Rhinolophus ferrumequinum: one gene and its partner. The protein of the gene in region 1 interacts with the protein of each later gene in a biochemical or structural test. Links are inferred from orthologs where the notes say so. Each region holds a gene or a part of one and is shown in the gene's direction. Other genes may lie near its edges.

Region 1 (7,833 bases):
TTCATCTCCTATAATAATTTATAAGGTAGACATAAAGATTTTTATGCCACAAAAAAGCTTTTCACACTGAAAAAATATATAAAATTATACTATTTTTTAAAAATAACTTTTATCTTTATTGATGTAAAACAAGACCTAGTGCCTTGCTTTTTTACCTTCTTTCTCCCTCTTTGGTTTTCATTGCATTAATCTGAGGTTAAAAGCCCTTCTATTTTAAAAATGCCTCTTTCAATTTTTTTCTTTTGCATTTTATTTGTTACCATAGCAACAATTATTTCAACTTATCAGCATCAAACAGGCTATACCGAGTTGTGTTTTTATTCAGTTACCTCTCTGTCTTTCGCTAGTTGCAAGGCTCATTGTCAGTTCTTTTCTCATTTCATCATTCATGAGTTTCTGATTCATATCTTGGTGATGTATTGTACAATTCTGAGTAATTTTTCCAGAAAAGGGAGTTAATTGGGTAGTGTATTAGTCAGAAACTCTGTGGTTTCAAGTGATAAGAATCTAACTCAAATTGACTTCAGTAAAAATAGAGAATACATTGACTCATGAACCTATAAAGTCCAGGCTCAGCTGAGAACAGCCTCAAACTATGTCCCCAAATCTGAATTCTGCTTTTCCTTCTCACCTACATTCTCAGAGAGAATTTCTCACTTCGTAGCATGTTTGACTCCAGACACGTACTCACTGCCCTAGCACCCCAACAGAAAGGGAGCACCCCCTTCCCAATTGTTTCTTTATTTTTATTTATTTATTTTTTTATTGGGGAAGGGGAACAGGACTTTATTGGGGAACAGTGTGTACTTCCAGGCCTGTTTTCCAAGTCAAGTTGTTGTCCTTTCAATCTTAGTTGTGGAGGGTGCCATTCCGCTTCAAGTTGTTGTCCTTTCAGTCTTAGTTGTGGAGGGCGCAGCTCAGCTCCAGGTCCAGTTGCCGTTGCTAGTTGCAGGGGGCACAGCCCACCATCCCTTGCGGGAGTCGAACCGGCAACCTTGTGGTTGAGAGGACGCACTCCAACCAACTGAGCCATCCGGGAGCTCAGCGGCAGCTCAGCTCAAGGTGCCGTGTTCAATCTTAGTTGCAGGGAACGGAGCCCACCATCCCTTGCGGGACTTGAGGAATTGAACTGGCAACCTTGTGGTTGAGAGCCCACTGGCCCATGTGGGAATCGAACCGGCAGCCTTCGGAGTTAGGAGCATGGAGCTCTAACTGCCTGAGCCACCGGGCCGTCCCCCCAATTGTTTCTTAAAAAGACTGAGTGTCATTGTCCTGGATCAGGTCACACATGCATCCTTTGAACTAATATCTGTGACTCTGATTGGGGAGCCCTGGGTCACATGCTTGCTCACAAGAGTGCAGAAGAGACAGAAGACAGTTCACCAACAGAAAATTTGGTTGTGCTACCAGAAGGAGGAGTTGATGCTGGACAGGCAAAAGTAAGAGATGGCCATTGTTTTCTAAAATCTGTGAATTGTTACCACTCTAGAGAGACAATAAGGAAGACATTCAGGTGGCCAGCTAGCCATCTGACTAGGGTCTTATGCTTTGATAGTAGTTTAGTTTTATTTCAGTGAGTCTAGTTCTCAGCTTTGTGCTTCCAGAAGTTTGTTATTGTCACTGAGGCTAGATAACCTTTCCCTCTGGGCCTGTATCATGCTGATCTGACTCAGTAGAGACTGATGTATAAGTAAATCCCATCTTAGAATGAATAGTAATCTCCAGAGGACCTGAATAGTGCTGTCCTCTGGTCAGTGCACTTTCCCTGTCAGAAAACCACATGCAAAGCTAAACTCTAATTATAAGGTTGCATGGAGCCAGGCAAGAGAAGTTCTCCGGAGAAAATTAGTGATCAGGTGCATCATGCCATGATAGTGTGGTGGCTTTAAAAAGTCCACAAACGCTGGAAGGGTGGAGGGAGATTAGTATGGAACATGGAAGGCAGAGTAAAAGGAGTTGGGGTGGAGGGATGGTCGGCATAGACCTCAGTCTGAGTGCAGTGGGGAGCCACTGACTTGCTTTAAGAAGGGGAGTGACATGGTCAATTTTGTTATGGAAAGACTACCTGGGTATGAGGAGAAGCCATTGGAGATGGGCAACACTGAAGGCAGAAGAGTCAAGGTGAATGGCAGTGGGAATAAAGTGCATACATTTAAAACAGTGCTTTTCAAAGTTTAATATGCGTACGAACCACCTGGATCTTGTTAAAATGCAGATCCTGATCCAGTAGGTCTGAAGAGGGACCTGAGATGCTGCTGGTCTGGAGACCATGTTTTGAGTAGTGACTATTTCAGAAATATTAAAGAAATAGAATTTACAGGAGTCTGTGATTGTTTGGATGGGGGGAAGGGATGAGAGGGAGGTAAAATGAGTTGTTAAGGATCATACCCAAACTTCCAATTTGAGTATCTGGGTGAAGATGATGCTATCCACAGATACAAGATGAAGAACAGGTTTGGTGGGGTAGATAATAATAACATAACATGTATTGGATACTTACTATGTGCCAGGCTCTTTATGTATACTGTTTTATTTAGTCTGTACAACAAATTTATGAGGTTAATACTATTGTGATTTTCATTTGAAGAGTGAGGAAACTGAGGCCAAGGTCACACAGGTAGTATGTGGAGCAGCCAAGACTCAAACCCTCTGGAAGTGTGAGTGCAGAATGCGTGCAGTTAACCATTGGCAGTTTGGATATGCGGAATTGAAGCACCTGTGGGATGTCATGTGGTCTGTCCAGAGGGACATGCTGACCTGGAATTCAGGAGAGATATTCTGAGTAATGGTTAAAGATCTGGGAGGAATTAAAGCATTGGAGGGAATGAAACCATCCATGGAGGTTTCTAACCTACCCCCTCAGAGTGCTATTAATCTTATTCCATTTTCCTTTGGGCATTTAATTATTACAGAGGAGGAGTCTGAAGACAACTAGTTTTTAGCTTTTTTGTAAATAATCTTTTCCCCCCCTCTGATTGGATTCTCTTACTGCTTGTTCTTTACCCCTGAAATTTAAGAATTTTTCCAGATTTCCAGATTATGTCTTAAAGTTGGTTTCTGCTGATTAATTTTTCTGGATCCCAGTAAACTCACTCAATTTTTTACCTATACCTCAGATCTTTTTACACCTAAGGCAAGTTTTCTTTTATTATAACTTTAATTATTGATTTGTTATGTCTTCTTTTGGGGGATGCCTATAGTTTGAATCTCCATGATATTCTTGTATCCATTTTCTTCTCTCTTACAGAATTCCATCACTTTGAATATTTCTTGTGTTTATATTCAATATTGTTGATTTGTTCTTCTGTATTGTCAAATCTGCTCTTTACTGCTTTGACCAATGAATTTTACTTTGGTTATTGTGGTTTTAGTTTCATATTACTCTCCATTTATCTTGGCCTGTTTTTAAAAGATGCAATGTCCTCTTGAAACAGAGAATAAGAATTAGGTGTTTTCTAAAATTGAATTCTGCTTCATGAACTAAATATATTTCAAAGTACTAATTTTTGGCTCTAGCACTTTCTTTTCTCATGTGCCACATATGTTTTTTCCCACAGGGCTTTTCTAAAAAGTTGCTCATTCACCTTTGAGATAGATTAGTTGATCTTTGCTGATGTCTGGAAGTCCAGCATTGACGGCTTTCAAGACCACAGTGTTGGACAATCAGGATGCAAGGTCTTCCACCCTTACTCTGTTCAAAGATAGTATAGGAAATGGTTCAGAAGCAGTGGCTGGATCATTTTGTCTCGTCTTAGCGATTCTTGGCTTTCAACTGCTTCAGGATTCCAGTTTTTATTTTTCAACCTATGTTGTTTGTGACTATTTTTTAGCCTCAGTGTGTATGTCTCATTTTCCCTAGTTCTTGATGCTTGGGTTTAGCGTTTCCATCTTTGTATTTATCAGTATGTCCTCTAAGTTTCTGTCCCTCTGTACCAATCTAGGTCTCACTCTCTGAATCTCTGTGTCTTTCTCTAAGCGTCTCAACCTACTTCAGCAGGTCCTCAAATAACATGGATTGGCCACGGTAGGAACTTAACTCTTGTTTATATCAATTATCCTATAGTAAAATTTGTTTCCTTATAGCACCCTTTACTTAACATCTCAGACCTTTACCACACAACTTGAGTAATTAGTGTATATATATATATATATATATATATATATACATATATATGTAAATGTGTCCATCTTCTCCCTCTAGAATGTAACTTGTATGGGGGTGGATGCCCAGGAACTTGGTAGGTACCCAACGAACACTTGTTGAGCGATCCTCTCTGTCTGATTAGCGGATCCTGCCACCTTTGTGTTTCATACTTTCTCAGTATGCAAATGTCTTTCTCGGTCCCGGTCATGCCTTTTGGTTTCTGTCCTGGTCTCAAGGTCTCTAAGTTTGTGTGTGGGCCACAGACTAGCACAGGCCGGGCCCAGGCCTGCAGCCGGTGTGTGGCGGGTCGTTGTCCCTCACACGCTGCCCTGGGTCGCTCTTAGGCTTAATCCGGACCCCGGTCCGGGTTTTCCCCTGCCCGTCTCTTAGGATCACCCCTTTGGGTTCTCTCCCAACAACTCGGATACCTCCAGCCTCTCAAGAGCCACTTTCTGCGCAGAACTCCCTCCCCCCCGACCGCCACAATAGCACGTGACCACGTACGGCAGTACCGCGGGCGCCGCGGCTGGCTCAGCCGCGGAGCTCCGCCCTGAGCTCGCCGCTTCCTTCGGCCCGCGCAGCCACGCCCCTAGGCCGCGGAGAGCTAATCCTCGCGCACGCTGCTTGGCCCCGCCCGGCGCCCTCCTCGGCGCGCGCCCCTCCCTCCGCCCGCCGGCCCGCCCGTCAGTCAGTCAGGCAATCAGTCGTTCTGGGTTGCTGTGGGTTCTCCAGGTCTTCGGAGCGGTTCCCTCCTTGCTCCTTCCCGGTCAGCAGCAGCAGCTGCACCAGCTGCGGCGCGGTCCCTCCGGGAGGCGCGGCGTAGGTCGAGCGGCGGCTGCGGAGCGTCGAGCTCAGCCCAGCGCGGCGGAGGCGGCTGCGGCGGCCCGGCAGCCAACATGGCGGCGGCGGCGGCGGCGGGCGCGGGCCCGGAGATGGTCCGCGGGCAGGTGTTCGACGTGGGGCCGCGCTACACCAATCTCTCGTACATCGGCGAGGGCGCCTACGGCATGGTGTGGTGAGTGTCCGCGCCCGCCCGCAGGCCTGGCCGCGCCTGCCCACCCCATCTTTCGGGGCCGCAGGGGACGCAACCGCGGCCTCGTCCGCGCCTGGGCCTCCCGCGCCGCCGCGCCCCCAACCTTGGGCTTCGCTGCGGCCCGCGCCCCTGGGGCTTCGGGCGGGGCCCTGGGGCCGGTGGAGGTTTGGGTGTTGCTCGCGGCATTTCGCGGGCTGGCCCTCGCTCGCCGTCGGGAGGGGCGCGGGGGGCGGAGGCCAGGATCCCGGGTGTTGCGGGCTCCGGCGCAGCGCGGATTTTGAGTCAGGACCCCCAGGAAGGGAACAGAAGCGCCTCCCCCACATTCCCCCTAATGCCAGCATGGTGGTCTTCTTTTTGACATCCGATTGTAAAGCCGGGAATTCCTTTAGATGCTTGTGGGTCGGTGGTGGTGGCGGCCGGGATCGTGAAAGCGGTTCGCCTCGTCTTGTGTGTAGAACACCGAAATGGATCTATTTTCCTTCTCTCGCCTGTGTTTTCCTCGAACGGCTTTCATTAAATATTTTCAGTGGTACTAATGGTGCTCTAATGCGCAGGCTTTCTAAAAAGCATTAGTGGCACCAGTGTTGTGTAATATTTCAATCTTGAAGTTTTTAAATGGATTTTAATATCGTGCTGTTTGTGTTTCTGGAAGGATAAGCCAACAACGTTTTCCTGATTTATTAAAGAGTCGTTTGGAATTGGGCCTAATTTGACTCTCTTTCTTTACCCCGAGTGAGCTCTCTTACCAGCATAAATACATCCACACGTTAAAGAACAATTACTGTGGTCTTTTTCAGTTAATGTTTTAGTGGTTAGTATATATGCAGCCTTAATGGAGGTCTTGCAGTGTTACGTGCAGGGTTCCTCATCTTAATCTATATCCCTTGGAAACGGGGAACGCGGGTGACGATATTATTTTTATTAGAACCAACTAGCTAGTGTTTTATGCTGATGGAGACATGTGGGAGTGTAGATTCCCTTACACCTAAATCTTCTTGTGACTTGTCTTTTATGTTGAATGAAGGAAGCAAACACATTTATTGAACACTAAGTGGCAGGTACTTTGTTAGGTACATTATCTCATTTTATTTGAAGAGCCACCTTGAGGGAGGAAAAGGTGGTGATATCTGTCTTTCAGGTGAGAAAGTATTTCGAGGTGAAGCGAATTTCTAAGGTCATACAATTAAAGAGTCACACTTGAGAGTGTAGACTGAGATCCTAATTCAAATGCTGTAGCTCTTTCCATTACATCTTGCTATCCTTAAATAGTGTTACTACCATTTCCCTGAAAATAAGACCTAGCCGGACAGTCAGCTCTGTAAGTCCCGGTCTTATTTTACTGTAAGACCGGGTCTTATATTAATTTTTGCTCCAAAAGACACATTAGAGCTGATTGTCTGGCTAGGTCTTATTTTTGGAGAAACACGGTATTAGTTTTAGAATTTGAGCATATTTTGTTATGAGCAAATCTATTTCAGAAACACATTCAAATTTGAATTATCATAATTTTAGAAACATAGAGGGCATAGTTTACCAAATATGTTAGCTAGATAAAAAGACCAGTTAAAATTGTGTTTTTAAAGAAAGACTACTTGAATCTTGAGTATTCTCATTCTGTTCAGGAGCAAAATGCTGCACGGTATACAACTATGAAAATGAACGTGAACTCAGAGGCTTATGAGCCAATAGAGAAATTAAATTAGGTCAGGCCTAAAAGAAAGAAAAGCCTTAGGAAGTAACGGAGAAACAATACTGCCCACAACATCACTTCTCTGTCATACATCTGATTGCTGTTGCACCTGCTGGTTAAGTATGCCAGTAAACATGTCTCACTATAAGAGGCTCAGAATTGCCCATCACATCCTTCGGCCCTTTTTAAAAAATTAGCATCCAAAATATGGACTGAAGGGCTGGCCCGGTGGCTCAGGCGGTTGGAGCTGCATGCTCCTAACTCCAAAGGCTGCCGGTTCTATTCCCACATGGGCCAGTGGGCTCTTGACCACAAGGTTGCTGGTTCAACTCCTTGAGTCCCACAAAGGATGGTGGGCTCCGCCCCCTGCAACTAAGATTGAACACTGGCACCTTGAGCTGAGCTGCCTCACAGATGGCTCAGTTGGTTGGAGCACGGGCTCTCAACCACAAGGTTGCCAATCGACTCCCGCAAGGGATGGTGGGCTGAGCTGCGCCCTCCACAACTAAGACGGAAAGGACAACAACTTGAAGCTGAACGGCACCCTCCACAACTTGGGGAAAAAAAGTCCTGGAAGTACACACTGTTCCCCAATAGTCCTGTTCCCCTTCCCCAATAAAATCTTAAGAAATATGGACTGAAAAAATCTTAGGATATTTCATTGAAAGGATTTTTTCCCCTTTCTGATAGGATTTTTACTAGTCTGAAGATGATTTTAGGTGTGGTAACTTTTCTATCACTGCTGTAGACTTGTTTGACCTTCTAAATCTCTTATCAGGCCTAGTCCTCTTACTGTGATTTTCCTTTCCTGAATAAAATACAAATACAATTGGAATTAGAATTCTGGGTCCAGATTATAGCTTTTGATTTCATGTTGATGATATACGCTAGTAAGTAGTTAATCTACATTGCACATTATTAGCATTTAATAAATATTGATTAATAGTGCGGGGTTTATTGAGGGCT
Region 2 (5,480 bases), on another chromosome or scaffold:
CTTTGGACACGGGCATTCTCTCTTTGCCCAACCTTTAATAAAACTTCCTTTGCTCTCCTACTTTTATGAGTCTGAATTCTTTCACATTTTGCAAACAACCAGCGGTTAATTCCATGCCAGAACACTTTCCTGCCCTGACGGCAGGACCCTGCTCCATCCCTCCATCCCTGCTTCCCTTTCTCAGAAGCTCCCACTTCCAAACATCTGTCCCCCCTGCCCTGCCCATTCCCCCTCCTCCCGTTAACTTTGTCTCCCGTTCTAGCCTGCTCTTCGATGCAGCAGTACTACAAGTGGGATGCAGGTATAGTTCCCCTTTAGGTCAGGGACTGACAAGGGTTGAGGGCCAGGCTTTGCTTCATCGCCTCCACAGTGGTTCCTGAGCCTCAGCTGAGCACCCCCCAGCCTCCTCAGCGAAGAGGGAGTCTGGGGTCCTCTGAAGGGGCACAGCCGTGTAAACAGACATAGACACTTCTGGGTGTGAGGTGCAGCTCCTCAGAGGAGATGGAAGGAAGAGTGTTTATTAAACCTCTACTAGGTGGAAGGCCTAGTACTGGAGATCGCACGGAGATATCGTGAGGAAAAGGGCAAATGTGCTTCTGGATATTCATGGAGATCATATCCCAGTGGGGGCGACACGAAACCACAAAAAGTAAACAGATACACAAAAGAATACCCCACTGTGGTGAATGTTATGAAGAAAACAAACAAGGGGCTAAGAGAGAGGTTGGTGGGAGGTCACAGTGACAGGTCAGAGGAGGGGAATGAAGGAACACAGTGATCTCAGGAAGATGGAAGGAAATGAGGAGAGCTGGCAACGAATGGGCCTACAGGCCTGCTTTCCTAGGATTAGGGCAGTGAGAACCAGTCCGGCTGCTGGTCTCAGCCCCTGGCCCTTTCTGGCCTTCACTCATCGCTTGGCCCTCACCTCTGCACTCCCTTATTAGTTTAATGATTCACTTTCAACCTTTCCTAGCTTCCTGTGTGGGATGAGTGGGGTGGGGCAGAGCCCTGGGTCTCTGAGGGTGGCAGAAGGAATGGTTTCTCTAGTTCTCCTCTTTGTCCCATTCTGCTCTTGCCACAGAGAAAGGTCTCTCTGTGCCAGAAGGACAGTGAGGCTAACTAGGCCCAGCTGGAGGTCCTGATTCCAGATGTGGGAGGTAGTGGTGAGACAAGATCCTGACATCCTCCTTTTACTCCCCTCCCCTGCCTAATGGCCTGGGGAAATTTCCGTCATAAACAAGTATGCATTCTTCATCTGGGTGCCTCCCCCACCTTCCCCACCGAGCAGTTTTCTTCCATCATCACTCTCTCCCCCCACCTCCAATTTATGTCTGTTTGGGCATGTGGGCCCGTCCACACATGTAAGTAATCATGGATTTATGTTGGTCATTGTGTAGTGTGCAGGTTGCCTTGGAATAAGGGTGTAGGTGGGTGTGCAGGCTCACTGTGCTTGGGTGTAGGTGTAAGAATGATGGCGGCTTTGAAAGGCAGGTGTGGGAAAGGGATATGTCTTTGTTTGTAGAGGAGGTGTGTTTTATGCCTGTTAGGAAAAAGTGTGTAATGCTGAAGGGGTCCCATGTGTTTAGATGTAGTGGGTATACCGTGTTTCCCCAAAAATAAGACCTAGCCAGACCATCAGCTCTAATGCGTCTTTTGGAGCAAAAATTAATATAAGACCTGGTCTTATTTTAATATAAGACAGTGTATAATATAATATTAATTTTTGCTCCAAAAGACGCATTAGAGCTGATGGTCCGGCTAGGTCTAATTTTCGGGGAAACACAGTAAAATAAAGTGACATATAGGCCTATGAAGCAATTGTATATACAGCAATAATATATCAATTTCTAGCCCAATTGTGGGGCTGTCCCCTGGTTTGCACCCCCGCACAACCTTGGTTGAGAAATGCCCTTAGGTGTTCCTTGTTTGGGTCTGTGTAAGAATTGTCCCAGCTTTCTTAAGATGTTATAAATTTGAATGTTGGATTTGAAGAAATGTAGCCATGTCTCAAAAGCTTGGGGTGACCCTGCCAGTGTGTGCATTTTCCGTTTTGCATTTTCACCTTTCATTTATCAAGATTACTGAGTAACTGGTACACACAAGGCCCCGTGCTAGGTTCTACGGCGGACACAAGGACACAAAGACATGTGTGACACAGTCTCTAATGAAGGGTTCATGCATGTGCTCACTGTGTGTGTCAGGCATAGTACCATCCAATGTAAAGATCTGAGCCCGAGGCATTTCACATCTCCGGAGTCAGCTTTGCTGCCTTCATTCTCTGCTGTCAGCACCCCCTCTCCATGCTCCCTGACTCTACTGAAACCCATCCTATTGTTAAATTCTAGTGATCTCACACTGGGAATGTCAGGTAGCGCCACCCCCGCCACCCCCTGGTCTGGGTCCCTCAGCCACAGCCTGGTAGGGCCCTGTTACCTCCCGCTGCACCTCTGTAATAGCTTCCTGCCCCTGCCTCAATGTCTCTCCATCCAGGGCACGCTCATTGTCCCTCTCAGCTCCCAGCTTGAAGTGCCCTGTTGTCATCCCGTGCCCATCTAGTCCATCTAGTCACATCCAGATTCCTGGCCTGGCAGCTAAGCTCTCCCCACTTTGCCCAAATCCTTCCCAGTCCTCATGACTTCCCACTACTCCTTTACTGGGAACTTAGTCCAGGACTGTTTTCTTTGTGATTCCCCACACACATGCTGTACTTTTCCAGCTCAAGGCCTTTGCTGATTCCATTCTCTTTCTCACAGTCATCCTCTACATCTGATTCTGTGGTTTCCCACCCACTGCTCAAGGTCATCTCACATCCACTCTTCCATGCAGCCTCACCTCATTCATTAGTGAACACTAGCTTTTCTGAGTCCCCCTAATACTGTCTTCCATTTCCTTAGGACCCTCAAGGAGTTCTGGTCAGGCCCACTCCTGAGGTGCCCTCAGCAGCACGCACGCAGAAACCGACCTCGGTACCTCCAACAGTACCTTTAACAGGGCGCCTTGCACTGTGAATGCCCAAAAGATGATAAATTCTGTCCATGAGCAACTGAGTTACGAAAATGTGTAAATTCAGTCATAAGTTGAGTTATTATCATTACCACAACATTTGCATAACGCCTCACAATTTAAAATGCTCTTCAGATGAATTTTGTTATTTGATCCAAATAACAAGAGGCAAATCTTGGTGACTGCTAACCTCCTGCCTTCATATTTTGTGGTCCTCTGTCCCAGCTTTGTATGAACACCCAAGTGGGTAACTTCTTTGGGTTGTCCTTTGCTGTGTGTGTGTGTGTGATGTGCATGTTGTACAATATGCCACCCCAAAATGTGCCACTTTGGTATGTGGATTGACGTGAAGGCAATCGACACCCAGCAGACTCAGGAAAAGCTATTCACTTCTCCCGTAACTGCCTAAAAGAATTTATTAGGGGCCTGTACCAGGAAGAAAGCTATTACCAGAGCACTTCTTTATCTGAAAGACTCTGGGGCTGGGCAGGCCAAACATGTGCTCTTCTTGTCTTCCTGTGATCTGCCGTCCTCCCTGTGAACCCCAGACCCCCACCCCATTCCTTAGCCCCCATTCATTAGGATGGCATAGGAGCCTCAGCTGCCTATCATTGAGTCTGGTCTTCCTGGACTCCTGTGAGTAGGTAATGAAATTTGTTTTCATCCTGTTAATGTCTTATGTCAATTTAATTATTAGACCAACTGAAAAATCTAGAAGGGAAGAAGGGAAAATTTTTCCACCCCTACAATGTGCTGTATGTGTGAATGTTTGTATGTGTGTTTTCCTGTGTTCTAAGACAGGCAGGGTTGGATCTGCGTGTGCAATTGTGTTCATTTTTCTTCTGCTGCTTGACTATTTCTGTCACGACTTTCCTCTTGGGGTGTGGTTCTCTATGTGTATCTACAGGTGTGTGAATGTACCTGTGTAACTGTGGTTCGTTGATTTGGCTGGCTCAGTATTGTAGCAGGATGGCCAGACTTCCTTATGGAAACCCTGCTGCCTTCCCGGAGATGGGCCTGTGACTGAACCTCTCCTAAACTGTGCGTGGGCCGCTCTCCAGCTGCCACATGTCCCGACATGTGCATGCAGCCCGGGATTTCACCCACCCCCACTCACAAGTCACACACTCACAACACACACTTGGGCACCCAGGGTTAACAGGCCAAGTCTCCACCCCCTCCCTTTGCTTAATCGTCGGAATTTCCAGCCGGCGCCGGCCTGCCTACAGCTCTCCGCCGGGGTGGAGTTGAGAAGGGCCCGCCCAATTATTAGGCACACTTAACTAGCTCAGCTTGGCTGCGGGTCCGCACTCGTCCTTCTGCTCTGCTCAGCGCACTATGTGTCACTCTCGCAGCTCCCTTCCCACCATGACAGTCCTGCGGGCCCCGACCCCGGTACCCTCCACCAGCCCGGGACCCCGGAGGGGCTCCGGTCCTGAGATCTTCACCTTCGATCCTCTCCCGGAGCCTACAGTGGCCTCCGCCGCGCGCCCCAGCGTCTCCCGCGGGCACCGAAAGCGCAGTCGTAGGGTCCTCTACCCGCGAGTGGTGAGTGTCGCTGAAGTGTCGCTGGAGGGAGCGTCGGGGTGGGGGAACGACCAGACTTTGGGACCCTGAGCTGACCTGTTCCCTTTGTTGTCTCCCCTCAGGTCCGGCGCCAGCTGCCCGCCGAGGATCCGAACCCTGCCAAAAGGCTCCTGTTTCTCCTGCTCACCGTCGTCTTCTGCCAGATCCTGATGGCTGAAGAAGGTGTGCCGGCGCCCCTACCCCGGGAGGACGCCCCCAGCGCCGCGCCCCTGGAGCCCACCCCTGCGCCCCCGGCTCTGGAGCCCCTTAATCTGACCGCGGAGCCCTCGGACTACGCTCTGGATCTCAGCACTTTCCTCCAGCAACACCCAGCCGCCTTCTAAACGTGACTCCCCACATCCCCTAAGAAACACCAGCTGTATCTGGTGCGCGAGAGCGTATCCCAAACTGGGACTCCCGAGGCAATTCGCACTCAACACTACAGGGGAGCCGCCACCCCGCACCAGGATGGGTCACGCGCGGACCTGCGGAGGCCGGGCCGGGCAGGGAAGGAGGGGGAGAGCGGCGTTAATTTATTTCTCATTGCTCCTGATATTTATATGTATTTATGTATGTCCCCTAAGTGATAGAGGGGTGTATGTAATATTTATTTTAACTTATGCGAGGGTGCGAGACGTGCACCCCGCTGCAAATGCAGGTCTCTTGGTATTTATTGAGCTTGGTGGGATTGGTGGAGGCGCCTAGACCGAGGGAGATGGAGACGGGGCCTGGAGGGCGCCCCGCAGGGAGTTAAGGACGGTGGTGGGTCGTAGGTTTAGGGGGTGACACTGTCCTCCAGCATCTCAACCCCCTGGGTCTATTGTGTGAAGCTTCGGTGGACCGTTGGGAATAAAGTCCTTGGCCTTCGATCTCTTCGAAGTTGCCCCTAAAGGGTGGCTACGGGGTGCGAG

Evidence for each region. The genes of interacting proteins can lie anywhere in the genome.
Region 2: of the proteins of MAPK1 (region 1) and IER3, one has a biochemical effect on the other in vitro, tested with the Homo sapiens proteins (2 studies listed by BioGRID and IntAct). The link is inferred for Rhinolophus ferrumequinum from reciprocal best matches to the Homo sapiens genes MAPK1 and IER3.

What each region holds. Positions count from the first base shown.
Region 1 is NC_046308.1:22,850,660-22,858,492, forward strand, and holds the start of MAPK1 (mitogen-activated protein kinase 1), read left to right. Parts: upstream 1-4,805; 5' UTR 4,806-5,040; coding exon 5,041-5,159; intron 5,160-7,833. UniProt on the Homo sapiens protein: Serine/threonine kinase which acts as an essential component of the MAP kinase signal transduction pathway. MAPK1/ERK2 and MAPK3/ERK1 are the 2 MAPKs which play an important role in the MAPK/ERK cascade.
Region 2 is NC_046286.1:1,332,714-1,338,193, reverse strand, and holds IER3 (radiation-inducible immediate-early gene IEX-1), read left to right. Parts: upstream 1-4,265; 5' UTR 4,266-4,341; coding exon 4,342-4,551; intron 4,552-4,652; coding exon 4,653-4,913; 3' UTR 4,914-4,940; downstream 4,941-5,480. UniProt on the Homo sapiens protein: May play a role in the ERK signaling pathway by inhibiting the dephosphorylation of ERK by phosphatase PP2A-PPP2R5C holoenzyme. Also acts as an ERK downstream effector mediating survival.